2 linked regions of the Rattus norvegicus genome follow. The protein of the gene in region 2 purifies or fractionates together with the protein of the main gene of each other region. This does not show direct contact. Links are inferred from orthologs where the notes say so. Each region holds a gene or a part of one and is shown on either strand. Other genes may lie near its edges. The genes, in order: Cdh5 and Kdr.

Region 1 (15,864 bases), on a different chromosome or scaffold from region 2:
AGAATACTAGTCTCGCTTTTCCAGTTTTTTGGAGTGGCCATCAATAAGATATGTTTCTGTTCCTGGATATTTAAGGGGCCTGAAATTTGCTACCTTGGGGATGGAAGTGTCTTTGGTACCCACAGGCAAGGGCCACTGGGTTGGAGAGTCTGTGTCACACCTTGGAAATCAGGGAAGGCAATGTCGGGTGTCTGATCCAGGTTGCAATGAGATTGGGTCCCCAGGCCCAAAGACCACAAACCCTAGATGATGAGCTCTTCCTGAGGATCTGAGCCATACAGCTCTGCCAGCATCTTGAACCTGGGTCCCCAGTCATTGAGGAAGTCATAGTCGATGTCAGAGTCGGAGGAATTGGTGCTCAGGGAGCTGAGGGACTCTGCGATGGACTCTGTGCCCTCGTAGCCGTAGATGTGCAGTGTATCGTAGGGGGGACCACCGCCATCATTGTCTGCCTCTTCTTTCTTCACCTCGATCATGGTGGCCATCTCTCTGGGCCCTCCGTGCAGGCTAGGCGCCAGTCGTGGAGGCTTCTGCACCTGTGTGTATACTGCTGGCCGGGCATCCATCGTGGACCGCAGAGGCTTGTTGGAGCCGGTGCGCACAGAATTAAGCACAGACACGTCGTAGCTTGTGGTGTCCATCTCGCCACCGCCCTCCTCGTCGTAGGTGACCAACTGCTCATGAATCTCAAGCGCACTCTTGCTATGAGCATGCGCCTGCTTCCGGAGCCGCCTCCGCAGGAAGATCAGCAAGGTGATCACTGCTAGCCAAGAAGTCCGAAGAAGAGATGTGGGTCAGACAGGTTCATTGGATCAGCCTAGACTCCCAGGGCCACTACTATGACTGGGCAAACAGATTTGGTTTGGCCCAAAATATAAGTCAGTGGCATATACCTACTGAAGACTGGGTGGGAATGGGTGTGGGAAGGTCCCCTGATCCTTGAGCTGTGGAGAGCTCCCTCAATGAGACCCAAGCCATCAAGTTTTCTAGCCTTGAGTTAGTTACTAATTTGTTAAATACAAAGAGTGACCCTGGCCTCCCCGAGCCCCAGTTTTCCTGTCTGCAGTGTGGATACATTGAATGCCCCCGTGACACTGGTATTTTGCGATTCTGTGATGTGGGTGGCATCAATACTTTCATCATCATCATCACCACCATCATCATCATCATCACCATCATCATTATCATCATCACCACCACCACCACCACCACCACCACCACCACCACCACCACCACCACCATCATCCATGAAAGAGAAGTCAGTCTCTAATGTCTCTGGCACAGAGGTCCAGGAAATGAACACACACAGTGGGAAGTTCAGAGGCCTGGAGCAAAGGCTGCCTGTACCTCATGACATCCTCGCTTCTCTGTGTGCGCCTCAGGGCTGGTACAGCATAGAGAAAGTACTTTCAAGAAGGAACATCCGCTCTCAATGGGAGAAGTCAGACTCTGCTGGGTGCTAGTGTAAAATGCCTTTCCTGGCAGCTTGCTCTTCACAAAGCCTTGTCTGAGATCTGTTTCTTAGGCAATGTCAGACCTAGGTGAAGCCTAAAGTGCCCCAAAGTGACAAGGCTCAAAATGAAACAAAAGCAAAAGCAAAAGCAAAACAAAACAAAACAAAAAAATGCAAACCAAAGCAAAAATGGACTCTGGAGGAATTCTAAAAAAGCAAAAAAAAAAAAAAACCCTCCAGCGACATTCCAGGCTAGAAGTCTCAAAACTTTCCATTATAAAGGAATTTCAGAAACAATTAAAGCTAGAAATGGTGGCACACACCTTTAATCCCAGCACTCTGAGGGCAAAAGCAAGTGAATTGGAGGTCCACATGCTCTACAGAGTGAGTTCCAGGCCAGTCAGGGGCTGTACAGTGAGATCTTGTCTCAAAATAGATGAGTAATACAGTAAATAATCATTTTAATGTACATCGGTGCCCCAAACAACACCCAGAATATAGTATGCACTCAAAATATATTTAGCAAATGAAGGAATGCCAAGTGTAGATTCATTTTCTTTTTTGTTTTGAAATTGAAGGTGATATTGAACCTGGTGCTTGACACATGCTAGTGACCCTGTCACTGCAATACACCAGGTTAATTTGAAATGGAGTTAGCTTGAAGAATGATTTTATGGCTCATCCTCCTTTCCCTTATTCCATATAGCACCAGGTTAGTGGGGTTACCTATTTATATCTCTGTATCCTATACATACAAGAACTGTGAACTCCAGAGTAGTGCAGGATAGGGCCAGAACCCTGCCTCTTCTCTGAAGCCCTCTTAATGTCTCCTCCCTGTCTATGAGACACTGACCTGTGATGGTGAGGATGCACAGAAAGATGGCTACCAGTGCCTGGATGCTGACACCCGCCTGTGCGGCCATCTCCTCACAGAAGGTGAACTCGCCCTGTTCGTTGCATTTGCACACAGCCACTGTTAGCGTGCCGGTTCCAGTCAGGCTGGGCATCCCATTGTCGGAGATGAGCACAGGCAGGTAGTGGAACTTGGTATGCTCCCGATTAAACTGTCCATACTTGACTGTGATGTTGGCGGTATTGTCTGCAAGCATCAAGACCACAGAGTGAGGCTCTGCCAGGAGCACCTGCCCTCTTGTCCCATGGGGGGAAGCTGCCTCTTTCTGCGTGATTTCATTGCCCTCTTTGTTTCCCGGCCTCATGTTTGAACCCTTTAAGCACAGGCTTGTCCCTTTGCAGAGGATGTACTTGGGTGACTGCTTTGACCCAGCCTAAGGGTGGCCAAGTCAGCGTGTAAGACCCCAATTTTCTGTTTCTGTGGTCAGTGGGTACACATCACTTTTTCCAAACCCATCCCAACAGGGGCTTTTGCTCAGCTCATTGCTGTATTGTTTTACACACACACACACACACACACACACACACACACACACACACACAGATACACCCCCACACACACTGCTGTCACTGCTATTCAGTACTCAGTGGCTATGGGCAAAGGAGAGATGGTCTACTTTTTTTTTTTTTTTTTTTGTAGGTTCCTGGGAGGTTGTAACACTAATGGTCAGAGGACTTACTTAGCCACACAGCCAAAAGCAAATTGGGAGAAATGAGAGACTCCAATATATAGAACATTTGTATGCAAACGACTCTGAGACCAACAGACCTGCTTCCTGTTGCACATGGGATATGAGTTTGGGGGTAGCTCCTAAATTTTCCCTAATGGATCCCAGTTCTTAGTTCGTTCAAGGTACACAAAGGGAATGGGATGATGGGTATTTTTGCAATGACATTTTCTGAGTATTGAGTTGAGTCATTAACTGTCAGCACAGCATGGCTGCCTTCCTCATTCTGTGGGCCATGATGCTCATCTTGCTTGATGCATCTGTGGCTGATTGCCTATATATGCCCCTCACTCTCAGGGACCCTCTTCCCTAGTTTTCCCCAAAGATGACAATGGGCTGTTTCAGTATGGGACCCTCATTGTGTCATCAGTAAGGGACAGGGAGATTTCCTCCCATGTTCGGATGAACAGTTGCTATAGTCATACCTGAGGGTGTACATTTTTCTTAGAGGCTGTGGAAGCCTGGCCACTTTCAGATGGAAATCAGCTTAGGGTCATCACTCTACGAAGTAGATCTTCACCAGGCCTCTGACTGGCCACTACTGACCTCACAAGACTCTCTGGTTTCTGACTGGCTGAATAGATATGCTGTAATATGATGTGATTGGTGGACCGGATCCTGTTCAGGGAACACTTTATGGTTGATACCCGTTCTAGCTGAACTGCAAACAAAGCTCATCACATTTCTGGGGTTTATGACTTCCTATTTCCAAGTTTGAGATCTTTGGAATGATCCCAGTATTAGAAGGAGCCTTTAGATAGTTTGGCTGAGCTGGCTGCCTGCATCCCTGTATCCATTCTGTGTTCCTCTTCAATGAAGCCTCTTTAGGGTAATGGTGACCCTCTGGATCATGTCCTATGGACCATGAAGCCTGGCCAGGAGGCTTCAACTACAACGTAGGCCAACTGTGCAATCTACGTGGTGAAAGTTGTACAGAACACTCCATAACTTAAAAGACCCTCTGGAGACCTGTCACCCCATGTTGGACTAGTACTTGATCTTAGTGCTTCAAGACTTTTAACCGACACCTCTGACCTTCTAAGAGCCGACCGCCTGCTCTGCGGCTTACCGTGGTTGTTGATGAGGGTGAAGTTGCTGTCCTCGTTCTTCAGGGCAAACTTGAACTTTGTGTTTACTGGCACCACGTCCTTGTCTGTTGCAGAGATCTGTACTACCAGCTGGAATGTGAGAGATGGGGAAGGATCAGTGTGGTTTCCGGGTTCAAGGATGGGTTTAGACAAGGCTGTGGCTGCCTGTCACCTGCGGCACTATGGTCTCCCCCAAGACACTTTGTCTTACTACCATCCTGCACTCACATATCCCTGACCTATTCTTCAGACACTCCTAGAGCCTCCATTTCTCCGCCTGAAAAATGGGAATAGCACTTTATTCAGGGTTGTTATGTAGTTACTTTATACTTAGGTAACTCTAGGTGGGCAGGAAGGTTTTCTCCCAAGTCATCTACCTGAAAACACACTACTTCTTGGTCCCCCATCTCCTCCACTCGAGGCCAACTCACCTTGCCCTGGGCAGCATTCTCACATACTTTAGGTTCGTAGGGCTGGGCAAATTCTGGGGCGTTGTCATTCTCATCCAAAACTTCAATGTAAATCTGTACAATGGATTCTTTACCTACAGGGTTACCTGCAGGGGAGACAGCTTGTCATTATACTGGGCCCAGCTGATGCTGGCCTTTGAAGATGTTTTGATGGACAGTCCTGGGGCAAAGTGTGGTGGAGGCCATTTTTTTTTTAAGGAGGAAAGGCCAAAGATGACATTAGAATGGGAGGAGGACAATGTGGGGGGTAGACCTTCATATGTAAGCAAACTTGCTGATAAGAATTCAAGAGCTAACCATCCTCAGCACATCTGAAGAGGTTGTAAAAGAGTTAGTAAGTAAATCAAGCAAACAGATACAATTGATTAAAACAATGCAATCGGACACATAATCATGCACTTTTAAAAGTAATGTTGTCCCCTCTCAGGAACCCCCATGGGACCTGGTTGCTGTGGGAAAGCGAACACTAGTTTGCTGGGTGATTGTTACAACTCCCCTTACTTCTGTCAGAATTCATACCAATTGTTGCAGAACGTTATAATCTCTACCTTTGAGAGCTGCTTCTTGGCTCTTTCACTGGTGCACACATAACTTTTTTTGTGCACAAAGGAGTGTTTGCCAAATGTGTTTGACACTAAGAATCGTGCAGCATTTGTTCCATGCACAGCCTTCGAGGCTCTCTGTGTTCTCTGGACCAAACCCTCAGAAAGTCTGTGTGTAGCATGTGCCTTTGCTGAGTCTCATCACAGAGACACTTGAACAGTGTGTTTTATCACAGAGCTTCTTAAACTATGATGCATTCAGTCTAAGGTGGTACTCTTATTATTCTGTCCTTCCGACAAGGTTTTGGGTGCTCTATATGATGGTGGTCCAAGGAGCACATTTAGAAATGGAAGGTCAAACTACCCCAATCAGAGAATGTTTCCCTGGGGCCCTTAGAATACATTTAGAGGTCCAGAATGAAGAGTCATGTCGGTTTTGAAAGAATGAAGGAAAAGAAAGGGCCCAGGTAGCTTGGAAAGTGGGGCCACTCACCCCTAGAATCCAATTCGTTGGCCTCCACAGTCAGGTTATACCAGGCGTGGGTTTCTCTGTCCAGTTCTTTCTCATTATAGATGTTCCCTTGTTTGGTTATTCGGAAGTATTGGCCTCTGTCACTGGTCTTGCGGATGGAGTATCTGTCAGGAGAAATGGGTTCATGGCTTTCCTTGTCCCTTGCTGTTTCCAAAGTCCTCACCATGACAGAGAATTTGACCCCTGTATCCTTCCCCATACCCCTTTCTAGTGTTCCCTACACTTACCACCCCGAGTGAGTAGCCTGTACATGTTCCCAAAGCAGGAGGATGCTTGACCTGAAGGATGTGTTATCTTATGATTGGATGGGGTACCCAAGACTCCACCCAGCTGCATTTCAAACTAAGTAACTTTAAAATCACTTACACTGCAGTTGGAATGTGTGTGTGTGTGTGTGAGACAGAGAGAGAGAGACAGAGAGAGAGAGAGAGAGAGAGAGAGAGAGAGAGAGAGAGAGAGAGAAGGTTGTTGCTACTACTGAAAAGCCATGGCAAAAAAAGTAACACAAAATATAATATGCTTTTTTGATAGGAAGAAGGCCTATGTCTACAGATTAAGCAATATTTTGACATAACTATAAAAAATAGCAATAATTAGGCATATTCTGTTAGTCCTTTGAATGTCCCAGTGATGTGAGAAAACTGAAGGGTTCAGACTCTCACGAACGAAAAGTAGATTCCCTAAGAGGAAAGGGAAATTAGACCCACTCCAGATGTTCCAACAAAGGTGAATGCTAGAACACACTGGTGGAACTTTTGAAGAAAAGTCTATGACCTGGAGATTGTACAAGTACATCATTCACAAAGATAGGTTCTGATTATGCACAGAAGAAATTGTTTTGAAGCTTTAAAAGTTGTCCTAATCAAAAGTAGAAACCTGGTTTGGGAGGAACTGAAATGAAGTTGTTGAAGCATGTATGAGTGATGCTTTTCATTAGAAAACATTTAAGATTTTGTAGACAGAAGTAAATCTGCGGTCAAATGTCTATGAGAAAAAAAAGGAGGGTTATAGAAAGATGAGGCACAAGAGGAAACTTGTCCCATCTGAGAAATAGGACATATAAAACAAGACAAGTGAGATCAAGCCCAGTACTGAGGATGAAAACAGCAAGCAGGCCGAACACAAACTCTGTTGAGATTAAAAAGCCAGCCCAACTGAGTGCTGTTTTCAAGAGACAGCTTAAAGCCATGCAATCTAGAAAAGTCAGAAGTAAAAGTCGGAGAATTTATCAAACAGAAACAACAAGCTTAACGTCACATGGCGTGGCACTGGGGACCAAAAGCATGAGAACAAACTAGATGGTTTCACAGAGGTGCAGAATTGCAGGTCCTGCACTCAGCTGTGGAGCACTGGCTCTGTGTGCACAGACCCTGGCTTTTAGCCCTTGCACTGGACAAAGAAGTTATAGGACATAAATGAAGGTAAAATAGTGGTAGATCTTAGTTAACTGGACAGAAAAATTAAAATACAGAAGTATTGATATTTCGGTAAAAAGAAAATGGGTGAAATACAACTGTATTATGTCACAGAACATATTAGACCACCCTCAATCCCCACAGCACTAGTACAAGAAAACCAAACCAAGCAAACCCAAGTCAATAAAGTCCCCAACCAAAGAAACAGCCAAAGTTATAATTATAAATCACTTGGAATAGATGACAGTGAGATTGGGTCCCCACATGCGTGAGGTGGACCCAAACTGGAAAGGCTTGCTTTGTTCTCAACAAGAAGACCTAATACTGCCAGGCCTGGTGATGCAGGCCTGAAATTCCAGGAAGCTGAGGCAGAACCTCAAGATCTGTCTGGGCCATCGTGTGAGTTCATGGCTGGATTGGTCCACTTACTGAGACCCTGTCTGAAAATGGGGGTGGGGGGAGAAGGTAGCAGAAGCCTGGGGGTGTGGTCTGAAAGGTAGGGTGCTTGGGAGGCTCTTGACCAGTGTTTGTATTGTAAATAAAGATTTTCCAAAATCAATATATAAAATTAATTCTTGGGTTGTCAAAACGGCTCAGTGGGCAAAGGTATCTGTGGCCAAGCCTGATAACCCGAGTTCTATTCCATGGTCTCACATGGTCCAAGGAGAAAACTGACTCCCATGGGTTACTTCTGACCTCTACATTTGTACTGTGGCACATACCACCTCTTACACACAGAATAAAGACAGAAAAGAGGAATAAAATAAAAAATACCTCATTAGGATATAAATATATTTTAAAACTATATGAAAACTACTTTTATGAAGCCAAGTATGGTGGAATGAATGTATGCTGTAATTTTGGTACTAAAGAGGAAGTGATAGGATTACAGCAGTTCAAGGCCAGTCGAGGCTACATAGACCCTATCTTTAAAAAAAAGGAGAAAAAAATATACTCGAGTGTGAGAATGGTCGTTTCGGATTAGATAAAAATGCAGAGAGAGAAGGGTTCGAGTCAGCAGAAAGCTGTTGCATTGAAGCAGAGTGTCACAGAGGAGCAGGCAGAGTGGGGAATTCAGAGGTAGGGTCAAGGATGGGTAAGAACTTAAATATATAACGCCAGTGATGAAATAATGACGTCAACAGGCCTGGCACAGCTGGCTTCATGTGTGGGATAAAATTGGATTGGATTGAATTCATTCTTACTACCAAATATTAGGAAGTCTGAGCAGATCTATGTATTCCCTTTGTCCCAGAGGGTAGAGGAGGGAAATTTAGTTAAGTCAGAGGAACAAGGACATGGGGCTGAATGTCTCATTCCACACCCTCCAAAGTCCACGTATTAGAAACTCTATCCACAGATGCATGTATTTGTGGTATTTGGAGATTAAGCTCTTGGGAGGTAATTACCATTAGGATTAGGATTGGGTCATGAGGGGTCCCCACGGTGGATTAGTGGCTTTATAAGAAGGTGAAGAAAGACCTACACTGGCAAGCTATTAGGTCTCACCATGTTACAGCAAGTAAAACCTCATTAGATGGCAATCAGGTGCTGGCACCATGCCCTTGGATTTCCAAGCCTTTAGACCCTTAAGATAAATAGAGCTCTGTGGCTCATAAATTATCCAACCCATGCTATGAAGTTGTAGTAATGGGAAACGAACTAGGAACAAGTATTGATGGACTGTGCGGAACATGATCCAAGGAAAACAGCAGCGAAAACACAAACAGTAACAACAAACGCAGCATCCGTGCATTGGTACATTTGTGTGGCCATGAAGGGAAGGAAAGGATACTCAGCCCACCTGAGAATCTGGTGGGAGCAGGAACTACCATAGATCTCTTTATAGAAGTGTATAGTTTCACCAAGTGAAAGCAACACTCTGGCTTTGTGTCTTGGGAGAAATCTCTCTAAACTAGTTTTGGTGATGGGGCTTCAGGTAAGCCATTCCTTTTGATGGCCTCATTAGACAGGAACTATGTAAGTCAAGGTCCAAAGTCCTTTAAAGAACAGAGGATGGCCTGGACCAGACAAGAGAGACAAGACAGGAGCTGGTGGGAGAAGAGTGTTAGTAGAAAGAGCCAAGGTTTAGCCTCAGCATCTTTCCATGGAGTTTTGGCAAGACCATGTCCTTCTCTGAGCCCTAGTCTGAGACCATTAGGCATAAGAATGACCATGCTAGGATCACCATGGCATCATCACTTCATGCCCACACTTCTTTACCCTATGCTGCGTTGAGCCTTGTCGGGGTCTTTGGCCACCACAGTGCCAATCAGTGGTTTCTTCTTGTTTTCGGGCAGGTGGAAGTGGTAGAAGCGTCGCTGGAAGACAGGGGGCTCATCCACATCTAGGACATTGATGATGATCTTGGCTTTGTTTTTGCCCGCAGTGCTGCTCAGGTATCCGAGTCTGATAGTGGGGTCTGTGGCCTCGATGTGGAACGTGTACTGCTGGATGAGTTCATAGTCCAGGGGCTGCATGGGCAGGAAGTATAGTGACTGGTTTTAGCCCATTTCGTTTGCCTGGTACCACCTCTGTACCTGAGCCTGTTCTATGAATCAAGGACATGCCCAATCCCAGTCCTTCTCTCAAGGGGGCAATACCCTAGTGGTTCTGTTCAAAGGGAGTAACTTTCCTGGTTTTGCTCAAGAGACTTCTCCTGTGTTTGTCTGCCTAGCAAATTTCTTCCTGTTCATCCTGAGGAATGAGTAGTAATTTGCTGTTGAGCAGTTAGTTAGTAAGAGACCTTCTCAGCAAGGGGCAACACCTTCTTGTCTGGCATTATTGTGCAGCCTTGAATACACCAGTTACATTTTTTGTTGTTGTTTGTATGCCTATCTTCCCTATTGTCTGAGAGCTTTGTGGACTCTGGTGGCTTTCTGTGCATTCTCAGTCCTCTACTTTAAAATTCTGGAAGCATAAGGCTCCTTCCTCTCCCTACTCTTCTAGATTCAGTAAGTCAGACCGCTTGCTGTCACAGAAGCCACTGTTCATGGCTACTTGTGCCCTTAGTCATACATTCTTTACATATGCTGATAGATTTCTACTATTGGGACACAGGGAGTTAATGTTGGGGGCACAGTGCTGGTGAGTTTTTAAATGTCAACTTGCTGTATAATCTGAAATCACCTGAGAAGGGAACCTCAACTGAGGAACTGTCTAGATCAGGTTACGTATGGGTTTGTCTGTGGGGGATTATCTTGATTGTTAATGGACCCAGTCCATTGTGGGCAGCACCATTCCCTAGGCCTGGTTCTGAACTGTATGAGAGGAGAAAACTAGCTGAGTGCATTCATTTCCTTCTGATTTTGGCTGTGGATGTGATGTGACCAGTTGTCTCAAGTTTCTGCCACTGTGACTTTTCCTTAACAATGGACTCAACTTGGAATTGTAAATCAAAAACAATCTTTCTTCTCCAAAGTTACTTTTGGTCAAGGTTATTTTATCACAACATGAGAAGTGAGACTAGAACAAGTGTTGTCTGTCAGCACTGCAGGGTTTGTGGCTGCTTAGCCCAGAGCCCGATCTTCCTGCTGCAACTCTGAGACATACTCTGGGCTCCACTTGTACCTGTTTATCAGTGATTGCCACCTATCCTTGCGCCTGAGGCTTCTAGGGAATACTACCCAGATAAACATTTCACACCCAAAGTATTGCCTCTGCTGTATCTCTGGAATAACTCAGGCTGAGACTGTGGGCTATAGTCTCCAGGAACTCCTGGCCAACTCTGAGCTGAAAAGAGCATACTCCTTCAATGGCCTGTGGCTCAGAAGTGATCCCTGAGCATGTCCTTTGGATACTGCAAAGTCCACAGCCCATGAATGGATTCAGTTCTGCAGGTCAACGTACCTTTGTGGGTTTGATGATACCCTCATTACGGTCGGGGTCTGTCTCAATGGTGAAGGTGTCCCTGTACTCGCCCTGCATGATGCTATATTTGGTCATCCGGTTCTGAGGCTCATCTGGGTCCTCAACAGAGAGAGAGCCCAAGGGCTTGCCCACACGGATATCTTCAGGCACCGAAAATGTGTATGTGGCTGATGAGATGAGCATAGGATACCGCAAAGAGTTAATGAGATAGATAAGACAATTGTCTCTTCATATTATCACACACACACACACACACACACACACACACACACACACACACACACCACATGCACACATTGTCCCTTCATATTATCATACACATGCATGCACGTATGCACACACAAACAATAGAAATTTTACCAAGGGTCTTACCCAGGCTAGGCAAGCACTCTATCACTGAACTATACCCCTAGCCTTTGGAATTTTGAGATTGAGGCTTGCTCTGTAGCCCAAGGTGGGTTTGAACTTGCAAATCTCCTGTCTCTGTCTCTTCAATGCTAGGGTCACAGGCATCTGCTGCCACCTATCTGGGTATCAAACCATATTTTGCTACAGAAAACAGGCAAGAAACTTAGGATTGTGTGATTCTGGGTCCGAAGATAAGGAGGCCTGCCTTGCCTTTTGCCCATCTGTCAAGCTAGCAGGGAGTTAGCTCATTCTGTACATTGGAACATCAATAGACAAGAGAGACAAATCTTGCCTTCAGGAAGTAATAGAGCTACTTTAGAACTAGATAATTTGGGGGTCAGCTGAGGCCTGAATTTCCACATAGCTAGTGGGTTCCATGAACATACCAACTTACTTTTCCTGCCTCTCTCACTCGGAGCACAGGAAAAGCTCTTGACACACAGTTTCTAAAGGGAAAATCAATTTGTAGGCATGTTTACAGCAGGCTTTGGTTGTACCCTATTCTCTGGGATTTTATAGCTGGGCCCTCAGTCTCAGAGGATCTGGGCGAAATTGCTTTTGTCTCACAATGGGACTTGAAGCATTGCAGTGCTATCAGCAAGGCTGTGATTTTTTTTTAAATCTGGTCTATGAAGGACTCAGCAGTGGACAGTTGGGTGACTTGGAGAGCAAGGCATTAGGATGCACCAGGGTCTCTATATTCTGGCTTCAGAAGTGCCCTGGGATATGGCAAGAAGTAGAGAGATTTGGGGCACTGTCTGAGAGCTCCCAAATCACTGAATCTGGATCGTCTCAGCCCCTGTCTACTTAAGGGCCTATGAGAGGGGCTTACACTGAGTAAAGATGGGGAAGTTGTCATTGATGTCTTCCAATCTGATCAGCACAGTGGCTGTGCCTGACTCTCCCCGCAGACCCTGGGCATCTTGTGCTTCCACCACGATCTTGTATTCAGCCCGTGTCTCTCTGTCCAAGTTTTTGTCCTTTGTGAAAATGAGTCCTGAAAAGAAAGTGACCCAACAGATATTGTGTTACCTGAGGAGCCTTGAGAAAATCTGAATGCCAAGATCCTTTCAGAAATACACCGGTGACTCCACTATATATCTGAGATTGAGATCCCTAGAACTATAGTCCACTGCCTCCATACCTTGCCCTGTATGGCTAAAAGTTGGCCAAATGTATGGTTCAGTATTGTTCCTAGCCAAAGAGAATGTAATGTTGAGAAAGACCATACTGCCAATTCCAGACTCAGAGTGAGATAGATTAGTGATGTCTGCCCTGGTACACATAAATATGATTGGCTATGCTGTGTCTTAGAACTGAGAGTGCTGTACTCGATTAATGATGTCTGTATTGACATATGCAGAAGTGGCTGCCCTTTTTAGTGCTACGAGTGCTGTGATAGATTAGTGACATATCTCTTGGTGCCCTTAGAAGTACCAGTTGCTCTGTGTATTTGCTCATCTTCTGGAAGACAAGTGTGTCTGGCTAGACTAACTGGCCTTCTTTCTTGCTTCCGCGGTTCGGTTCTTACAGTTTTTTAAATTTGTTAAACACCAAATTTGGCCTGAGAAGCCTTCTGTACTTGCAGACTTGAATCCTGTGATGAACTGCAACCTAGTAGCATGTAAATAAACTAAAGCCCTAACTTAGGAGTATGCTCAGCCAATCACAGCAGCTGGGCTTCAGTTAATCATAGGCTGCCACCTGTTCAAAGCTATTCAAATAAAGCAGACACCCCAGCTGGAAACGACCGAGCTGTTTCTAGACTGCAGGTTTTTTTTTTTCTTCCCTGCACTATAAATATCACCCAACTATGTGGCAGCCCTGGGGTTTCTCTGAACTTGTTTGGCTTCTGGGGTGTCCCAATTTGTGAACTGTTCTTTGCAAAAATTAAACTCGATAAAATTTAATTGGTCTAAAGTTTTCTCTTAACGAGGCACAAAAAAATTATGTGGCATGGCTGTGCCTATGCAAAATCTAATTCCAACTTCACAGCTACTGCACAAGGGACCATGAGCATTCCTGTTTTCTGGACAAAGGAAGCAAGGTTCTTAGGTGTTAGATAACTTTTCCAAGGGGCTGTAGGGCTGAGCAGCAGTTCTAGGCTCAAATCAGATGTCTCTGAACATGTACAAAGACCTTCCAACCACTATGTTCTTTTGAGTCCTGGTCTATGCTTGGGTGAAAAGGCCCTGATTTTCTTTCTGGACTTGAGTACATGTTTTGGGCAGTTGTCTGCTTTCTTCTCCCCTAACCCACTCCAATATGTCTTTATATTTATTATGCACTCCTTCTCTGGATCAGTGACTGGTAACACCCATCAGATTAGAGTTCTCTCTACATTGGCCCCTGCAATATTCATGCCCCTCTCCCATCCCTCTAAATAGGCACCCTCCCAAAAGGTTTAGTCATACAGACCAGAATTGTCGATGGCGAAGTACTCATTTCCTTTCACCATTTGGTACAAGACAGTGGCGTGGCCAGCCACCGTAGGGTCATCTGCATCCGTTGCTGTCACACGGATGACAGAGGTCCCTGTGGAGAGAGAGAGTTCTGGTGTTTCTGCTCATGACTGTGGTCCTCACCCTGTTTCCTGGTGATAGTAAATGGGGTTCTGCTGTTCCTACTTGCCCAAGCTGAGGGAATGAGGGTTGCTTTGTGCCAGAGGGGCCATCACGAGGACAAAGTGCCAGCAAGGGTGAGCCCAGCCAGATCAGTCAGAAAACAGGCAAAGAGAACAGGTGATTTGTATGTTTGCAGGAGAAATGAAGGTGTTTGGGTTTGAGAGAGTAACTTAGGTGATGTCTGGGTGGATTTTCCTTTTCTGAAAGTATGAGAATGTGGGACTGGGAAGGGTATTGCAAAGCCCCGAGAGGGATGGAGATCCTATTTCTCATCCTTTGGAGTTCTAGACTTCCTCAAGGAGGTCTGGTCCCATGGTCTTGAGCGCAGATCCTGGACAGAAGACTAGAGAAACACACTCTCTGTCTGGACCTTCTGGAAGCAGGTTGAGGATAGGTTAGTACCTCCCAAGCCCATATCTAGGGTGATTACACGCTCTGGGGTCAGGATCAGGGCCCAGGCTATAAAGAGAGTCAGTGCTCAGCACATTATGAGGATTAAAACCCATCTATGGTTAGGGTCAGGTTTTAGTTTGGGACTAGATCAGAGGTTAGCCTTTAAGGACACATTTCAAAATCATGTAAAGGTGCAAGACAGCATCACAATTACTTCCTTGAGCTTACTGGAGCCCAGCCTTAAGCATTGAGGTGGTTGATGTGAGAGGTGTCTTCAGGCTGGTGTTGAGGAGGGGAGGAGAGAGAGGAAAGACTAGGCACATACCTATAGCTGACATCTCGGGCACAGATGCGTTGAATACCTGGTGCGTAAACACAGGCCAGTTGTCATTTACATCATGCACCTTGACAGTGAAGCTGGAAGGTTGTTCCAGGTTTTTGTTGGTCTTCTTGTCCACAATGAGGGCAGTAAGGAAGTACTCAGAGACTTTTTCCCGGTCTAACCTCTCATAGGCAAGCACATCCCCTGTGTCAGCATCGACCCTGAAGATCTTGCCAGCTTGTTCTCCTTGGAGCACATACTTAGCATTCTGACGGTTCACATTGGACTTGATCTGGGGAAGAACAGGCAACATGAGCTGGGAATGGGCAGTGGGTGCATACACGAGTGTGCATGCTTGTGTGTGTGCACACATGTGACGATGCATGCATGTATGCTGACCATATGTGTGTGTAGTGCTGAGTAGGGATGCTCACCCTGACACTGACGCTTTAAACAAGAACTTTCAACTGGTCACCAGTGAGCTTGTCTTCACCAGGTCACTGCAAGCACGGTAGTGATGCATCTTTTTTAGCTGTGTCCAATGCCTAGAATGGCACATGGAGCCTAGTCACGCATTTGCCACCAGAGAATAATAGTGTCTTTCTCCCTTGGAAGACATGGGTTTTTACTATCTCATCTTTAAAATGGACCCAATTGGATTCCTAAGGTTGATTTGCACTAATGGATACAGCTTCCCACTTGGAAATGAATGCCAGGAAAGCTTGGCTTCTCTTGTTCCGTGCAAAAATGGGACACGTGCCGGTGATGTGCTAGAACTGGCTTCTATCAATATGGCTTTGAAGACTTGGTTAGAGTTGGGGAATATTTGTGATCAGGCTGTCAAATGTGGCCATATTAAAAATTAAATTATCTGAACGTACAATGAAATAAATCATCATCATAGATGGTTTGTTGACCCAGGATTTGGGCATTTGGAACCAGTCTAGGAGACATGCCTCTGGAGATGGTGCCTGTTGCAATTTTCCTAGAGAGCGTTGACAGGAATGAGAAGGTTCACACTGAGTGTGGGCATCGTCGCCTTACGTACTGGGCAAGTGAAGCAGCTTCGTCCACCTCTCTCTGATTTCTCACTACAGATGCTTGCAC
Region 2 (16,404 bases):
ACTGTGTATTTTTGTATATAGGAGTATATGTGTATGTTTGTATGTATGAGTGTGCGTGTTTGTATGTATGAGTGTGAGTATGTATGTTTGTGTTTGTATATGTGAGTGTGTGTGAGTTGTGTGTGTATGTGTGTGTCTGTGTGTTTTAAAGTCTTTATAATTTATCTGTCCAGAGAGGACCCTATATCTCTTAAGAAAACTTCATTAGGGTTTATTATCCAAGTATTCAGAGGTCTGGCTTTGTGTTGTCAGGGTTACCTTTGAGGACGGGAATTGCCAGCTGAAATCAAGCCCCACGTTGAGCTCTGTTCTTGCTGTACAATTTAAGACAAGCTTTTCTCCGGCAGATAGCTCAATTTCATGAGGGGGGCTCAGGACCACATCATAAATCCTATATCCTGAAGCACATAAATGATAAAAACAGAAAGTAAGATGGAAAAGAAATCTAGGACTTGGCACGCACCTTTTAAGTGGCGCAGAGCGTGTGACATCATTTTCCTCGGGGACCTCACTGCTTCTTGATGGCTTTAGGAAAGCGGTTTATAATGATTTACAAATCACTGTCTTCAGCATTTCAAAGATGTTGTAATAACCCAATGAATAATAAAATCTAGATACAATTAAAAGAACTGGTGCCAAGCAGTACTCTGACTATTGCAGTTTTTATAAAATGAACTCCTTTTTTCATTCTTGGTCTTGGCAAGAAAGGAGAAACCCCAGTTGCAATAGTTTGTCTGGTAAAGAAGAGTATTTGGAAAGAGTTAACCATCCTCTGAGCTAATACCTTTCCCCGTATCCCTTGCACCTTGCTCTCCAGGATACTCATGTAGAAAGCTACTCTTTAGTGTACGGTGGAAAGGAAATATTCACTTACCTACAACCAGAACTATGTACATGATAGACTGATACGTTTCATCATTAATCTTTGCCTCACAGAAGACCATGCCGGCATAGCTGATCATGTAACTGGGGATAGTAAAGCCTTTCTCGCTGTCCCAGGAAATTCTGTTTCCATCCGGAACAAATCTCTTTTCTGGATACCTCTGATTAGCAAAAAGAGAGACAACAAATATTTAACCCAGCACTGTCCAAATTTGATGACCAATGAAGGACCCATCTTACTTCTAAGAATGTAAGAATGTGCTGTTTGCCCTCCCTAAGGGACTTTGTAACTCACTGTTGGAATGGTTTTGAAAGTGGGAAGCTCGTCTCCAAAAAAGGGTTACAGCAATGGACACATGCGGTGACTGAAAAAGAGGCAACTCACAGCACAAAGTGACACGTTGAGGTTTGAAATCGACCCTCGGCATGGGATCACCACAGTTTTGTTCTTGTTCTCAGTGATGTACACGATGCCATGCTCGTCACTGACAGAGGCGATGAATGGTGACCTGTGATCTAGAAGAAAAGGGAATTCTCCCAGTGAATTATTAGCAAGAGAATTAGTAGCCTTGGGTCCGTGAACTCTAACTGAATAATGGAATGACTGTCGTTGACAACTTGCATGGACGAAGACAGCCACAGGCTAGTCTGCACATAGATATCCAGCTCTAAAGATGTGGCCAAGGAAGGGCAGAGAAACACAGAGAAGAGGGGGTGAGAGACAGAGACAGAGAGACAGAGAGTCAGAGATGGAGGGACAGAAAGACAAAGAGAAAGAGAGACACAGACAGAGACAGAAAAGAGTAAATGAAAACTCCAACAAGGTAAATTAATGTTTAACTTCTTCCACATGGAGTATTAACAAGTAGAATCTATTTTAATAGCCCATGCTTTACAAGACTTTTTTTATATAAAATAAAAAAACTTCATTTAAATCCATATACTTAAACTCTGAGTTTTATGATGCTAAAAGTTCATGTTTTTCATTAGGGAAATAATGTAAATGACTAACAAGAAATTAGGATTTTTAAACCAAGAGAAAATAACAATCAGATGATTCAACCATTCAAAAGAATGATGTTTATATTATCGTAAGTCTGTGGGGTCTGTAGATAAGAGTCTTTATAAAGTCATGTTTCATAGCCACTACATTTAGTTCAAGATTTAGCCCATATGAATATCCACAACAATGAGTATTAGGAAAAATGCAATTCCAACAATTGAGATGAAAGCCAGAGAGATTTTGTTATCTTTCAGACGCCATTCACACAGTACTAATACGTGGCTGGGGATTTACTTCATCCCCTAGAGACAGAACACATGGTCTGGAGCCACGACTTGAAATGGCAGAGATAACATCTCACCTCCTACCCCCCACACATCTGGTCAAGCCTTTGCAGAGGTGAAGAAAGAGTTAATGAAACCAAAGGGAAGAAGAGTAACTAATTCCTTTCAACAGCAAAAACCTGATTTCCTCCCCAGCTGGAAAGCATAGAAATCCAGCTAGCTTCGTTCCCCACATGCCATCATCATTATCTTGCATGGCCAAGGCCAGCTTCCTGGCTCCCTCCACTGCTAGATGGGTCAGAGGACTGAGGAAGTTAGAGGGGACATTAGAGACCTATCCATGGGGAATACTACATTCAATGCTTTCTTTCCTGTTGTTAAATTTCATGACACAAACTCAGAAAGCTAAGCTGAGGCAGGAGCAGAATTTTATCATTTATCCAACGTCACCAAGTATACCAGCAAACGTGCTAGTGACATGTGCTTGCTGCCCTGCCCACCCTCCACGGACATGTTAATGGATATGACCTGACTTGCTTCATTCAAAGCAAGCCTTGGGAAGCTAAATTAACCACTTGACTTAAGACTAAAGCTATGCTGTAAGCTATTTCAGTAGCACTGAAGGGGAAGTAAACAAAAGAATACCAAACAACCACGCATCCTCCCAAAAATAAAACATTTATTGTAACCCACGAAATGACTTTTCTCATGTCTCCAGGTTTCCTGACTCGGGGAGAAGGAAGTAACAAGATATTGTAGGAGAAGCTCATCTTGAAGCATTTCCAGACAGGCTGGGAGCAGGAAATCCTTGCAATCTTCTGAGAGAGCCACGTCTCCCAAGACTGCCGGATCAAAAGGAGCCAGGCATTCTCCAAGGTCTGAGCCTTGTCTCTCTCAGCTCTGCAGGGTAAGGAGGGGAGGCACAGAACTCTCTCTCATACTCTGCTTACCCCGAGCAAAAAGAATACCTAATCACGGGGAAGCTCAAGAGCATCATGGGATATTTGAATATGGCCTCTGTTCTCCTATACACTGACCCTACTGAAATGGAAGTGTAGATATGCAAGTATGGTGCCCTGGTGAAGCACCTTCCTGTCTGGTAAGAGTGGCTTTCGGGGAAAAAACTCAAAGTCATTTTCACCTGCCTCGGATCCCCTGAGATGTAAGGCTACATACAGATGAATAAATACATATATAGATCCATCCTTCTCTGAAAGAAATATAACATGGTATGCCAGTGTCAAATATAATGTAACTCAGGGCTGGAGAGATGGCCCAGCAGACAGGAGCACTGGTTTCTCCTGCAGAGGACCTGGGTTCAGTGCCCAGCATCCACATGGTGACTCATGGTCATCTGTAACTCCAGGTCCAGGGGATGCAGTGCCCACCTCTGACCTTCATGGATAGCATGCATGCATACATTACCCATCTATACATGCAAACTCTCACGCACAAAAAAAGAATAACAAAGAAATCTCTATGTATAATGCAGCCTATATATTCCTGAGAAGCACATGCTATTACAAGCATCTCGGCAGTGAAGAGAGGTGTTTCCCAAGAAAAGGTGGTGTGCAATTTTTAGAACATAAAGGGGATGATGAGTCCCGTAAATCCAGAATACATGTTGCATTTTAATTTTACTATAGGATGCTAAGTTACAAAATCTCGATTATATCACAAAACTAACCTCTTGATGTAAGACAAAAGTTAAATTCCTTCGACTTGAAACTAAGGGTGTCCTGTGAGCCAATTCTACATCTTTAGCCTTTAAAGGGGAAGTATACAAAGGAAGCTCAAATAGCAAATTATCACCTCAAAATAAAATACTTCTCTGTCCACAAAGACTGTTCATGTCTGCAAGTTTCATCTCCATGGAGTTGATCCCAAGCCCTCTCAGCTCACACAAGCAAAGACAAGACATGCAGTCCAGAGGGGTTCTTTTGAGTGCAGTGTTGTGCTTTGCACATGGGTATGTGAATTTTTTAAAAATAAAGTGGTAATTTGGAAAGGAAAGATCTTATGGGGGAGGGAGAAAAAAAAAGACAGACTCTAGAGTCCTTGGCTATTTCCCTATGCATTCCTACAAAAACCTCCTCCCTGCTACAGATAACCTATCTTACCACATAAACCTCTCTATAATTCACCTCCAATCTTTGAAAACCTCATCTTCAAAGATCCCAGAGTCTCAAAGAGCAGAAGACATTTTATGAGTCTCTATAGCTCTTGGCGGGTCACAGGAGGGAATCACAGAGCTCCGTAGCAAAGGAACTAGGGCTGACCTAGGCAGAGAAGAGAAGTGCAGCTCCAACCCAGACTGCTGGTGAGTCCTTCTCCAAGGAAGCCTGGGAGAGAGGCTTTTCTATTCCTTTTGGGAAAACAGCTTTCCTATCAAGCCTCTTGTTGGACTCAACTCTTCTTGACTCAATTACATTTATGACATCAGAAGCAGAGGTGGGAAGCACATTCTAGCCCACCACTTACCTTGAACATAGACATAAACGATGGAGGAGACATCGGTGTCCCGATAGAAGCACTTGTAGGCTCCAGTATCATTTCCAACCACTCTGGGAACTGTGAGTGTCTTGCAGAAGATACTGTCGCCACACTCAGTCACCAACACCCTTTCCTCAGAGTCACGCGGAGTGTTGGGCCAAAGCCAATCCAGGTCCCTCTGTCCCCTGAAAAAGTATTCCAGGAAGATATTAATGCAACACTCCCTTGCCACGAGGCTATGATTAAGAGAACAGAAGATTTGGTTTTTCACACACATGTAAACTACTCAACAGACACCTTCGAGTTGATAGACACTGATGACAGACGTTCTGCAAGGACATGCCACCAAAGAACACACACTCTGTTACAGAAATCACCCACGTGGTCGTGTGTTTTCTATTAGTTCACTCATTCATTCTTTCAATGAATATTTTAGGCAATATATGATTGCTAAGCATTATTAAGGACAAAAAAATGGATCCTTTTTAAGGGATCCAGGATATCAAGCCCAGCGGCAGAGTAGTTGGCCAGTGTACACGAAAAAGAAAAAATTCAGTGCCCTTCTGGAACTTAACTCTAGACGAGGGAGATAATACAATTAAAAGGTACAGATTGCTGCGTAAATGGCGGTGATTTCACACTGTGAAGGAAAATATAAAAGAGGCAAAGACAAGGGCAGAATGCGACCAAGCTGGCCCTATGCATTCCAACAGTAAATATGAAAGACAGACAGGGACCGGGGCACATCTGGAGCATTGGGAGAACGGCAAGGAAGCCAGAGTCCTCATGTGGGTATAAGCAAGGGGGAGTAAGAAGTTAGCACACAGAGAGAAGAGGCTCACAGGGCCTTGTGAGGGCCACATCAAATAGACATTACTTTTATAGTTTCCATTCTCCACAAAGCAAAAGTTAGGTAGTCAATGAGTGAAGCAACACGACCAACTGAGCCATAGAGCTTAGAACTTGCACGATATCACAGTCCTTTGTTCAGTGCTTGAGGAATGTCTCTGCAGTCTCCAGAGGCGGGGTGAAGCCTTTGCAGGCCTTAAGTCACCTTTGTGTCTGAGAACAGGTAGATGAAAGTCTCTGGAAATGCCACGACTTAATAAAGATAAACGATTCCTGCTATGGCTTTCTGTTTTTGTCCCCTGCCCCCTGCCCCATGACTAGGCATTGGTGACTTTTGTAGACCTTAGACGAGGGGCCAGGTTCTCTCCACATGCAATGATCTACACTAGACCTGAGTTGTTCTGTGGACTGCTTGGTATTTTTCAAATATGAGGCAACTGCGACAAGCTGCCAGGGCTCCTCTTGCCACCAAGCACTCTTCTCAGATGGCACCATTGCCTGGACCCATCACCATCCCCAACAAAACACGCTATTCTGCACACAGGGCCTTCATAAACAGTCACACACCCAGCTACACCTCCCCTAGGTTTCCTTTCTTGCCTCTTGGTGGAAAAGTAAGAATCAAAGGGACTTCTCGATGGCAAGTGGGAAAGAGGCCCTGGGACATCAAGCCAGATTATGAAGGTCCTGGTCTGAACAGGACAAATGGTCAGGAATATTACTGGCTCGAGATTTAATTGCTAATAAAGACAAAATTTCATTTGTAAAAAACAGCTTTAAAAAGGGTCCAGAAGCCATTCTGGGTGACTTGAACATGGCTAGAATTTTAACTCTATTCATAAGGATATCTCTTTTGCTTTACTAACTTATCAATAGTTGTGAATGCCTATTGCGTGTCAGTTTCTGACCTGTCTGCACGTGCATGCATGTGTGTGCCAGGGCATGTTGTATCTGTGTAAAATGGTTGTACATGTTGAAAGTAGCAAAACAGTACAAAAGTCTGAAGAGACTTTTCTCATTGTTTCGTTATTAAATGAGTTCTTAGAAGTCTCATGACTTATAAACAATTGTAACAATACTATTCTACTCCTGCAATAATGGAAATTGTTGTGACCGCAGTAAACATTGAGTCCTTTCACACAGGAAATCTGGATCAAAAAGGAATCCTTACCTGCAAGTAATCTGAAGGGTTGTATTTGCCAAAATTGTAAGTATGTCTTTTTGTGTGCTGAGCTTGGGTGGATGGAGGGAATCGCCAGGCAAACCTAGAAACAAATTAGATAAGAGTTGGATCCAATAGGAAACCCTCCCACAAACAATGCACACTCCAGGTTTTAAAAGGCCTCTTCAGCAATTCATTGTATAAAAGTGGGATTGACTTTGCCCATTCCCAGTAAAAGTTCACAGGCTCTGTCATAACAGGAAGAATGGGCAGATGGTCACAGACCAACACAACAGTTCTGCAATCCACGGCACCAGGGTGGAGTTCCTGTTTTCCTGTGTTGCCAACTTCAAGGTCTTACAAAAGGATATGGGATCCTGAAACCCAGTGAACCCCCATCTGATGATCTCAGGCCCTTGGGAAAGGACCCACTGACATTTCTTGTAAAGCATAGGATGTGCAGATCTGACTAAAATGCTGATTAATGAAAACCCCGGAGAGATCTCTCTACAGCTCATCTCCATACCCCCAAAAGGGACAGGAGCCACTGTGACCCTGTCCCATTGTCTTTTATCATGCTGTGCACCAGACTTCCTTTGGGAACTGAGCTATAAAGGCAAAGGTAGTGGCTCCCAAAGACAGCTCATTTAAATGGAAGAAGAGAAACATCTCCCAAGTTCTCGCTTACATGCATATTAATAAACTCGGAGCAAAACTGAATGAGCCATAGCTGGGGTCCCAACTCATTAACCAAAGCTCTGTGGTCATATCAATACAAAGCTGGAGGCATATGACACTTGTTACCTGGCCGACTGAAATGCATAAAGGCATCGTGAGAGATATGCACCACTGCAGGCCATTAAATAGCGAGACAACTAGTTTTCAGTCAACTAACCTGCCAAGTGCTACCGGCTGCCTAAAAAGCATGAGAAAAACAGAAGTTGCCCACCACGTTAAAGGGCATCAAGATCTTCCACTCTCCACTCAAGACGTGAGCTGCCTACCGTGCTGGCACACACCTGGAAGCCCAGCATTCTGATGAATGAGACAAGAGGACGGCAAGTTCGAGGCTAGCCTGGGCCACACAGTGAGACTCTGTCTCAAAAGAAAAAGAATAACTAATTAATACCAGGCAGGGCTCCAGGCTTTCTAAGCCACCCTGACTAAGAACAGATGACTCCTCAGGCCTCAGCTGGCATTGACAGTGTTGGGCAAATGAGTGAGCGGGAACAAATATGAGGCCACTAATGCAGTATGAGCAAACAGCCAAGGCAAACACCCGGTGCCGTGACACTGTGGCCCTCTGAGAACAAGCAGAGCAGGCCGTTCACTGACTGTAGCGGTTCTCGCACACCTGCACAGATGTGCATAACGGTCTACAGCAATTCCACCCTGAATACACCCAACCTAACCGGATGTACATATGCTGCTGATATAACCGTGGATTTATTCATTAATTAACATTTTTCAAACGCTGGAAATTAAATGGCATTTAATGAATCTCAGAAGTTAGTTGGCATTGTTAATAACTCGTGTGTGGACTGTGAGTCTGAACCTCATGGTGTGTTTATTCCTAGACCAACAAATAGGGGTTTTTAAATGGCATCGAAAGTGACTGTATCACAGGTGCTCTTGGTCCCCCCCACCCCGAGACGGCTACAGAACTGAGCAATTATATTCAATTAACCGGCATAATATTTGTCCATATCAAAGAAGTTACTGTCCCTAACATAGGCATGCAATTAAAATGTTCATAGACAAGCCTTTGAATGATGGAATCTTACTTTGTTTGAGAAGTGGGAGATAAAAACAATTTGTTTGATAAGTAGATTTTAAACATGACTGAGCAGCATTAACCTGAAGACAATCACTGGCTACACTCATGGGGTGAACCCATTATTCAGGCAGATGGGTGAGGAAAATGTGGTAGTAAGCTGCGCCCACTCTACCACCACAGTAAGTGACCTTTATTCTTCAGTGGGGAAGCGAATGCAGAGCCTGAGCGCTCTACCGCTGATCAACACGCTACAGCCACTCAGAGCCGCGCTACTGTCTCTGTCATAACACACAGCCATAGATGCTCTTAGAGGGCAGGCGCATTAGCTCTGCTCATCTGTAAAAGATGCCCCATTCCCGAGACACCAAATACAGCACCATAGTATCCAAGGGATGTGTCTGCAATCAAATCTAGTCAACGAGGTTATCGATAACTGGAGATTTACATCAATGGCTAATGATCCCTCTCCCCCTTATTAAACCTCATTCATTTTCAATGGCAAGTTTGGGTTCTGTTCTTTAGAAAGCTCCTTCTTACTGTAAGAGGTACATATGCTGCTACTCAATAAAAGCCCTTTTATGTTCAAATCCGATAACCAACATTAATTAATTTGTGCACTGTTATCCTTCCCACTCAAAGACCAGAAGGAAAAACAACAGCGGCTCTGTCTCTAGACTCCGATGGCACCAATTATGGTCCAATCCAATTAAGAAAGTCACACACTCCAAAAGGGCAACCTCCGTTTAATTCAGGGAACCAACCAACGGGCTACTGTTAAACTGCTACACTAGGAACACTCCAGGCTTCACAGCAACTCACTTCGCTATGGGACCCAGGGCAAGCACGTGTTCTAGGCTGCCTTTCTCGTCCCAGAAAGCGGGAGAGTGAGGCCTTGTCAGGAACAAATGGGCACCCATGATGGAGTTAGCCTGGTGAACCAAGTCATTATGAGGAAGATTCAATAACTGTAGACAGATGATCCTGGCGCTGTACGTCAGCGCCAGTGCTTTTAAGGCATGCGATTTTCTTCGGATATAAGGAATGTTTCTGCAGAATTGACTTTTTTTTTTTTCTGACTCTCCATTCTCCAATGGATGGAGTCTGGGAAATCTGCAAACTGTGGCTACAAAAAGAAAATGAGAGAGAAATAGAGGAGGAAGAGGATGAGGAGGAGAAGAGGGGAAGGAAAGGAGGGAAGAGAAGGGAAGGGGTTGCACAAAAGCCCAAGAGCGAGTGAGAGCCTAACCTTGAAACACAGGGCATCTTTAAACAGTAAAAATGGCCTATATCTAGGTGCCAAACTAAAGAGTTTCTGAAACTTTCAGAAACTCAGAGTTTACCCCAGGACCAAACACTTTGGAGTAGTAAGTGGAGAGTTACTTTAAGATACCTGGAAAAGCTACCATAGAAGAAGCCGCTTCCTCCTGCCAGCAAAGTGGCATTCTGCACCAAAGAAAGTTGGGTAGGAAAGTGTTGCTCTGTGAAGAGCGCACATAGTGAGCTTACCCGCTGGAGCTAAAGCAGAGCGGAGCGGGAGGCTGGTTCCCTGCTCCACTCAGGGCAGCAAGCAACAGCCTGCGTGCTCGATGCCAGTCAGGCCGCCCGGCTTGCACTGGCTTCCCGGCATTTGACTGCCTGTTCCTGCCAGTGGGAGCATCTCCTGCCCCGGCGCAGGGCGCCTTCCCACTCCCGCCTACCCAGCGCCAGGGGTTGTGGGCTCCGCAGGACACGCTCCAGCCAGAGCCCGGGGGAGATTAGAATCCTGGCTGAGTCATTTCGGAAGAGTCTTTGAACCTCAGTTTCCCGGTTGGTAAGTGAAAGAACACCAAAGGACGGGTCTCTAGAGCTCTCCGAGTTAGGTCCTCTTCTCTGTTATCCCCACTCTCCGCCCGCACCCTGCTCCACCTTACTTCTAAAGAGTGGGCTCCTTACCCACAGAGGCGGCTCGGGTCTCCACGCAGAACCACAGAGCGACAGCTAGCAGCGCCCTGCTCTCCATCCTGCACCTCGCGCTGGGCACAGATGCTTTCTCGGTCCCTGGCCGGCAAAGAAGTCACAGAAGCGGTACGCGCTCCTGCAGTGCAAAACCTGGGAAAGCGCAGGGCACCGGCGCCCTGGCTCCAGCCGCAGCTGCAGCAGTGTCGGCGGACACGGGTCAGCCAGGTTATCCCGGCTGCAGGACACAATCTGGGCTTTCAGTCGTGCGGAGTAGCGTTCCGGGCGATCTAAGGAGACACAGCCTACTCTCTTGGGGTCCTGAGGACTCAGTGCAGAGAGCCAGCGCTGGCTAAACACTAGAGAATGGGGGCGGGGTCATTACCGGGAGGGGTGGGGACTCCCTGCGTCCGGCCACGCCCCTCGCTGGATACCAGGTTTGGGTTTCCCGGTTTCCCACGCCCACTCCCCCACTACCCCGGAACTGTGCCGGGCTGCAAGTCCCATCCGAGAGCAAATCTGGACGCAGCTCGGATTCTGGTGGAAGTAAAATGTAGCCAATAAGGGGCTCTGAGACACTTGCTGCCCCCCAGCAACCCGGGAAGCATCACCAGAAACGCAAGACCGGCTGCGCCCTCATTAGGTGCCTCCAAGTGCAGAACTCTCTTCCCTGCTGCAGCTGAGAGCCCCAAGGGACCAAACCTCCGCTTGCAGGTTGGAGCATGAAGATAGGAACCCTGGACCTAGATGTATCTGGGGCACCAACTTTCAGTGAGTTGGTCAGTACTTGGAAGTTTTGTTTAATGGTGCTCTGGCCAGTGCAGCCATAGTTTTAACTCCCCCGCCCCCCGCCCCTGCCCCCCGCCCCCTTTGAACGCTTTAATTAAAAGATAGGCTCTTATCCAGGTTGCCAATGCCCCTACTGTTTTCTCGTCCATCTGGCAACTTTAGATCTTTTGAAGTTACCTGCCTAGCCCTAGAAGACATTTCGGTTGTGAACTCCTGCCTGGCTTTGTCCAGATAACTGCAGCAGGAGATCCAGGTTGCTGAGGGTGATCAGGGCTCCAGGGCAGCTGCACAGAGAAGAGCGCCTATCCTCCTCCAGTGGCTGCTAGAGTGCTTTCGTCTACCCAGCTCCATGGCCATGGTTCCCTACAGAAACTTTGGCCAGGTTCCTTTCCAAAGCTGACCTTTCAGCCAAGATAGGCTTGGGGGGAGAGAAGGGAGCATTTTCAGGGGTGTCAACTGTGGGAGCAGAAGCGAAAGCGGTCCCTGCGTGAACAGTTTTTTTCAACTGTGTGGCTTTCTTTCCATTCCTTCCACGCCTAGGAAATGACAATAAATACCTTGTAACAACTTTTACTCCTGGCATTTATAATGATAGTTTAAAGGACAGTCTTTCAGCCGGACAAAGGGATAAGATTATTGTCTTTACATCCAACCGAAACTACACCGATGTGCGCCATTAATGAAACACGATGCTTTTCTTTTTTAAAGAAGGGAGATAAACAGTGATTCTCCTTCATCACGAACCTGCCTGAGCCTGAAGTGTGGTGCCAGACGCAGCTGTCGAGCCCAGGAGGCTTTTCAAAATCCAGGTTCACTATAAAAATGTTTCAACACATTTACACATATACACCTATAAGGTGAAATTAAGCTTGAAAAAATATGGGAATGTTTTGTGTGGGCATTTTCCTTTTAGTGGGGACATGCACAGTCTATGCACGTTTCGGTGTGTATACTGGGCTCCTCTTCTCAGGAATGAAAACTCCATTTAAAAGTTGTTTGGCGTCTTCTTTCCCTTTACGGTGTACATGGACAACATTCTGAAGGTTCTGCCTGGTTCTTCTTATCCGCGTTCCACTGTGTAGGTGTACTCTTATCTAAGAGGTATTTATTTGTGAACAGGGTAGACCACTTAAGGAAACTTCTCTTGGGTAGAGTAAAACAAACTAAAACAAACCTCAGAAAAAGAACCAGGGAGGGCTGTCAGATTTGGGTAAAGGGAGGGAAGATGGATTCTGTCTTGGAGAAGGTAGAGTTTTCTCCATCCCAGTGGCCAAACAAGGCTTCTCTTGAAGCCTTATTTACAATGCTGAAAACTTCCCCTTCCACGTTTGACTTAAGAAGACAGTGTCTCCTCTAATACAAACCAGAACCTGCAGGCCCATGGTAATAGCCCCATTTAGAACTCCTAGAGGAAATGGTGCATCTTTGATGGCTATGGTCCCCAAATTCAACAGGATCTCCGTGAAATCTGTCTCCTATACTCCCTCCCACACACACTGAGAAATACTCTGCATTTTGTTGGGTTTATTTTTAAAGACGAGATTTGCTTTGAAAAGGAAGAAGGAAAGGAAAGGGGGAGGGGAAGCAGAGGGAAGGAGACAGGGATGGTTCAGCTTGTGAAGTTGCTGTGCAAGCATAGAGAGCTGAGTTCGAGCTTCCAAACTCGCATTTAAAAAGCCAGATGTGGTGCCAGCCATGTTATCCTGATGCTGGGGAAGGAGAGATATGAGGATCCCTGAGGTCCACCAGTCCAAGACGAGATCAATCAGCTGGTGACCCTCAGGCCAGTGAGAGGCACTGTCTCCCAGCTGAAGCTCTTGAGAAATGATACTCAACTATACCTCTGGCAGATGATCTACCTCCATCGAAAATGGACCTCCACCGAGCATGAGTGGGCGCGCGCTCGTGTACACACACACACACACACACACACACACACACACACACACTCACACACACACTCACAGACACTCACACACACAGACACACACACACTCACACACAAACTCACAGACACACTCACACACACAGACACACACACTCACACACACTCACATACACTCACACACACTCACACACACACTCATACACACACACACACACACACACTCGTTCAGTAGCATTCTCTGTTTGGCACAGTCATAGATGAGCAGTAGGAAGTGTCATGAGCAGTTCCCAGAAAGATCACGCTTTTATAAATTCCAGGAAGTGCTGGCTGCAAAGGTAGATGGGAAAGAAGGAATCTTTGCATCTTACGTGTTTTTTTTTTTTTAAAAAACAACAACAACAACTTCACTCTCACAACTAAAATGTGGCATGCTACCCTTTTCTAGTGGCTGCTGTGGTTTTGGTCACTGTCACCATTAATCACAAGTTTGCATGGCACTTCCTCATGCTTGCTTCGTTTAAGTGTTTCCCCAAGTTTCTGTTTAGCAGGGCACGTGACTACCTCCCTGGCAAGGTGGGCTGTTTATAAACTGAGCACACTCATAACTATCGTACTTTGCAAGCGCTCGAGGGCCATTTCCTTTTCACTATCGAATTTCTTTCTGTTCCCAAGATTATTTTACTCTGTGTACGGTTTACTGCTTTAACTTACAACATTTCTTTTTTTAATGTTTGAGAAAAAGAAGGCTCAGTTACCTGGAAGTCAGACTGGCTTTGCGTGTTCCATTAGAGTTCGAGTCTACTCATAATACTTTACAGTGTGATGAATGTTTGAATGACTTCCCATCCTTCACGTGAAACAGATGAAGTGGTTCTCATCCCTCGCTACCTGTAGAGGAAGAATCTTGGTACTAGGGCAGTGTACTCATCACCAGGCCCTCTCCTATAGTTAATGTGGAACTTAAAAAAAAAGATAAATCGAAATTTTAACATAGAGTTCGAGAGATGCTTCCGCAGTAAGGGTTCTTGCTGCGTTTCTACAGGACCCCAGTTTGGTTCCCGGCATCCACACTGGGTAACTCACGGCCTGTTCCTACAACTCCAGAGAATCTGTTGCCTTGGTTTCTATGGAAACACACACACATGCTCACTGGCACTCACATACACACAAATACGTAAAATAAAATATTTTTTACTTTAATCGAATATATAAAAGATACAGGGAATTTAATCGAAAGTCTGTATTTCACCAGAGAAGGAGGCCAAAAAATGTGAGTACCCAACCTTTGAGCAGACACGCTCTGAAAGCTGAACCTCATCTTTCATCCCTTGAGACAAACAGGAAGGTAGCAAGCACTATTAGCAGTCTTGGGGGCAAAGGAAAAAATTATTCTTGATGTTAAGAGAGTCTTCTCCCTCCCTTCTTAGATCTGTGCAAAAGGAAAAAAAAATAGTTACATCAGTTTTCTAGATCAAGTGCAATTTTCTTTTTTTCCCTGAATCATTTTCTTAAGATTTATTTATTTAATGTGTGTGAGTAGTTTGCATTCAATGTTTGCCTGGTGTTTTCAGAGTCAGATCTCCTCGATGGGGTTACAGATGGTTATTAGCCACCAAGTAGGTGCTGGGAACTGGCTCCAGGGCCTGTGCAGGAAGACGTATTCTTCACAGCTGAGCCATCCCTCCAGCTCCATTCAGCATATTTTGTTTTTTTACTAGACGTGTCAATGAAAGTCAAGAGGCTGCATTTTAAATTAATAACAAAACAAGTTTATTTAGGAGAACTCTTTGTGTGCTGGGTATTTTTCTTGCTTTATCTGTTTACTGCTCAAAATAACTGAATAGAAAATGCATTATTCTCATAGAATGGAGGAAGGAGTTTAGAAGGTGTAGTAGCTTTGCAATATTTCACAGTTCTAAGTTGCTGAATAATAGTTTTTTAAGAACAGATGTTAAGTATCCAAGACCTTTAGGCTCATAGTTTCTAACAGGTGACCCATCTCATGATCTCATCCAAGGATAAGGCCAGGGGCATTGAGTCAATGCCTCAGGCTGCCTCTTACCTCCCTGCAAGCTTTTCTTTGCTGTAAAACACCACAAGCAAGGAAACCTACAGAAAAGAGTTCATTTGAGCTTACCTCTCCAGAGGGTTAAGAATCTATCCTGGTGGACAGGCATGGCGGCCGCAGGAATCTGAGCGCTCACAGTGTCAGACACAGCACAATGCAGAGAGAGAACGGGGTAGTAGATGAGGGTTTATGACGTCAAAGCCTCTAACTTGCTTCCTCCAGCAAGGCTGTACTTCCAACCCCCCCGCACAGAAGCTCCACCAGCTGAGGACGAAGTATTCAAATATCTGAGCCTACGGGGAACATTCTTGTCCACATCACTACATCCCCAGTAAATGATCCATTTTCCTAGAAAGATTGTGGGCCAAAAGGAAGTTAATGGGGGGAGGGGCATCTCTGAGATGCTAATCAAGAAAGAAAGATCTTCCTTTTCTATGTAATCTTCAAATTACCAGTCTTCCTAACAAATCTTTTTTTAAAAAAAGACTTCTAACAGTCTTTTTTTTTTAAATGTTCTGGAACTGGAGAGATGGCTCAGTGGTTAAGAGCACTGTCTGCTCTTCCAGAGGCCCTGAGTTCAATTCCTAGCAACCACATGGTGGCTCACAACCATCTGTAATGGGATCCAACGTCCTCTTCTGGTGTGTCTGAAGACAGCTACAGTGTACTCATATATAATAAATAAATCTAAAAAAATATCCTTAGTCATTTTGGATATCTTTCAGTATGAAATGTGAGGCCCAGTGAGCTCACTCTTTCTTTCTTTCTTTCTTTCTTTCTTTCTTTCTTTCTTTCTTTTTCCTTTTTCTTCCTCCCTTTTCTTCTGCCTTCCTTCCTTCCTTTTACCCTCCTCCTCCATTTTATTTTAGATTTATTATTTTATTTCATATGTATGGATCAATCATTTGCTTGCACATTTGTCTGTGAACCAAGTGTGTGCCTGGTACCCACAGAGGTCGGAAGAGGCTCTCAGATCCCCTGGAACTGAAGATACAGATGGTTGTGAGCCACTCCTGGGTGCCAGAACTTGAACCTAGGTCCTCTGGAAGAACCGCCATTGCTCTTAACTGTTAAGCCATCTCTCCAGCTAGCTTCCTGGAACTCTCCTTTAAAACTCAGCCAAGGAAATAGTTAAATTTAAAGGGGTAGCAATTAGTATAGAGTAAAAATGGTAAAGGGAATAATGAAGAGTGTTAGTAAAATCCATTAGGAATGACTAATTAAATAGAGATATTATAAAGATAGTATGGGGTGGGGCTAGCAAGATGGCTCAA

The links.
Region 1: the proteins of Kdr (region 2) and Cdh5 purify together in Homo sapiens (affinity purification with western blotting; 3 studies listed by BioGRID and IntAct, with this or other methods). This does not show direct contact. The link is inferred for Rattus norvegicus from reciprocal best matches to the Homo sapiens genes KDR and CDH5.

What each region holds. Positions count from the first base shown.
Region 1 is NC_086037.1:823,223-839,086, forward strand, and holds the end of Cdh5 (cadherin-5), read right to left. Parts: intron 15,050-15,864; coding exon 14,761-15,049; intron 13,954-14,760; coding exon 13,837-13,953; intron 12,416-13,836; coding exon 12,251-12,415; intron 11,178-12,250; coding exon 10,990-11,177; intron 9,615-10,989; coding exon 9,364-9,614; intron 5,830-9,363; coding exon 5,687-5,829; intron 4,738-5,686; coding exon 4,613-4,737; intron 4,272-4,612; coding exon 4,163-4,271; intron 2,553-4,162; coding exon 2,307-2,552; intron 764-2,306; coding exon of another isoform or gene 761-763; coding exon 243-760; 3' UTR 85-242; downstream 1-84. UniProt on the Homo sapiens protein: Cadherins are calcium-dependent cell adhesion proteins. They preferentially interact with themselves in a homophilic manner in connecting cells; cadherins may thus contribute to the sorting of heterogeneous cell types.
Region 2 is NC_086032.1:32,566,361-32,582,764, reverse strand, and holds the start of Kdr (vascular endothelial growth factor receptor 2 precursor), read right to left. Parts: upstream 10,703-16,404; 5' UTR 10,450-10,702; coding exon 10,383-10,449; intron 6,777-10,382; coding exon 6,683-6,776; intron 4,848-6,682; coding exon 4,651-4,847; intron 1,399-4,650; coding exon 1,268-1,398; intron 1,044-1,267; coding exon 875-1,043; intron 399-874; coding exon 259-398; intron 1-258. UniProt on the Homo sapiens protein: Tyrosine-protein kinase that acts as a cell-surface receptor for VEGFA, VEGFC and VEGFD. Plays an essential role in the regulation of angiogenesis, vascular development, vascular permeability, and embryonic hematopoiesis.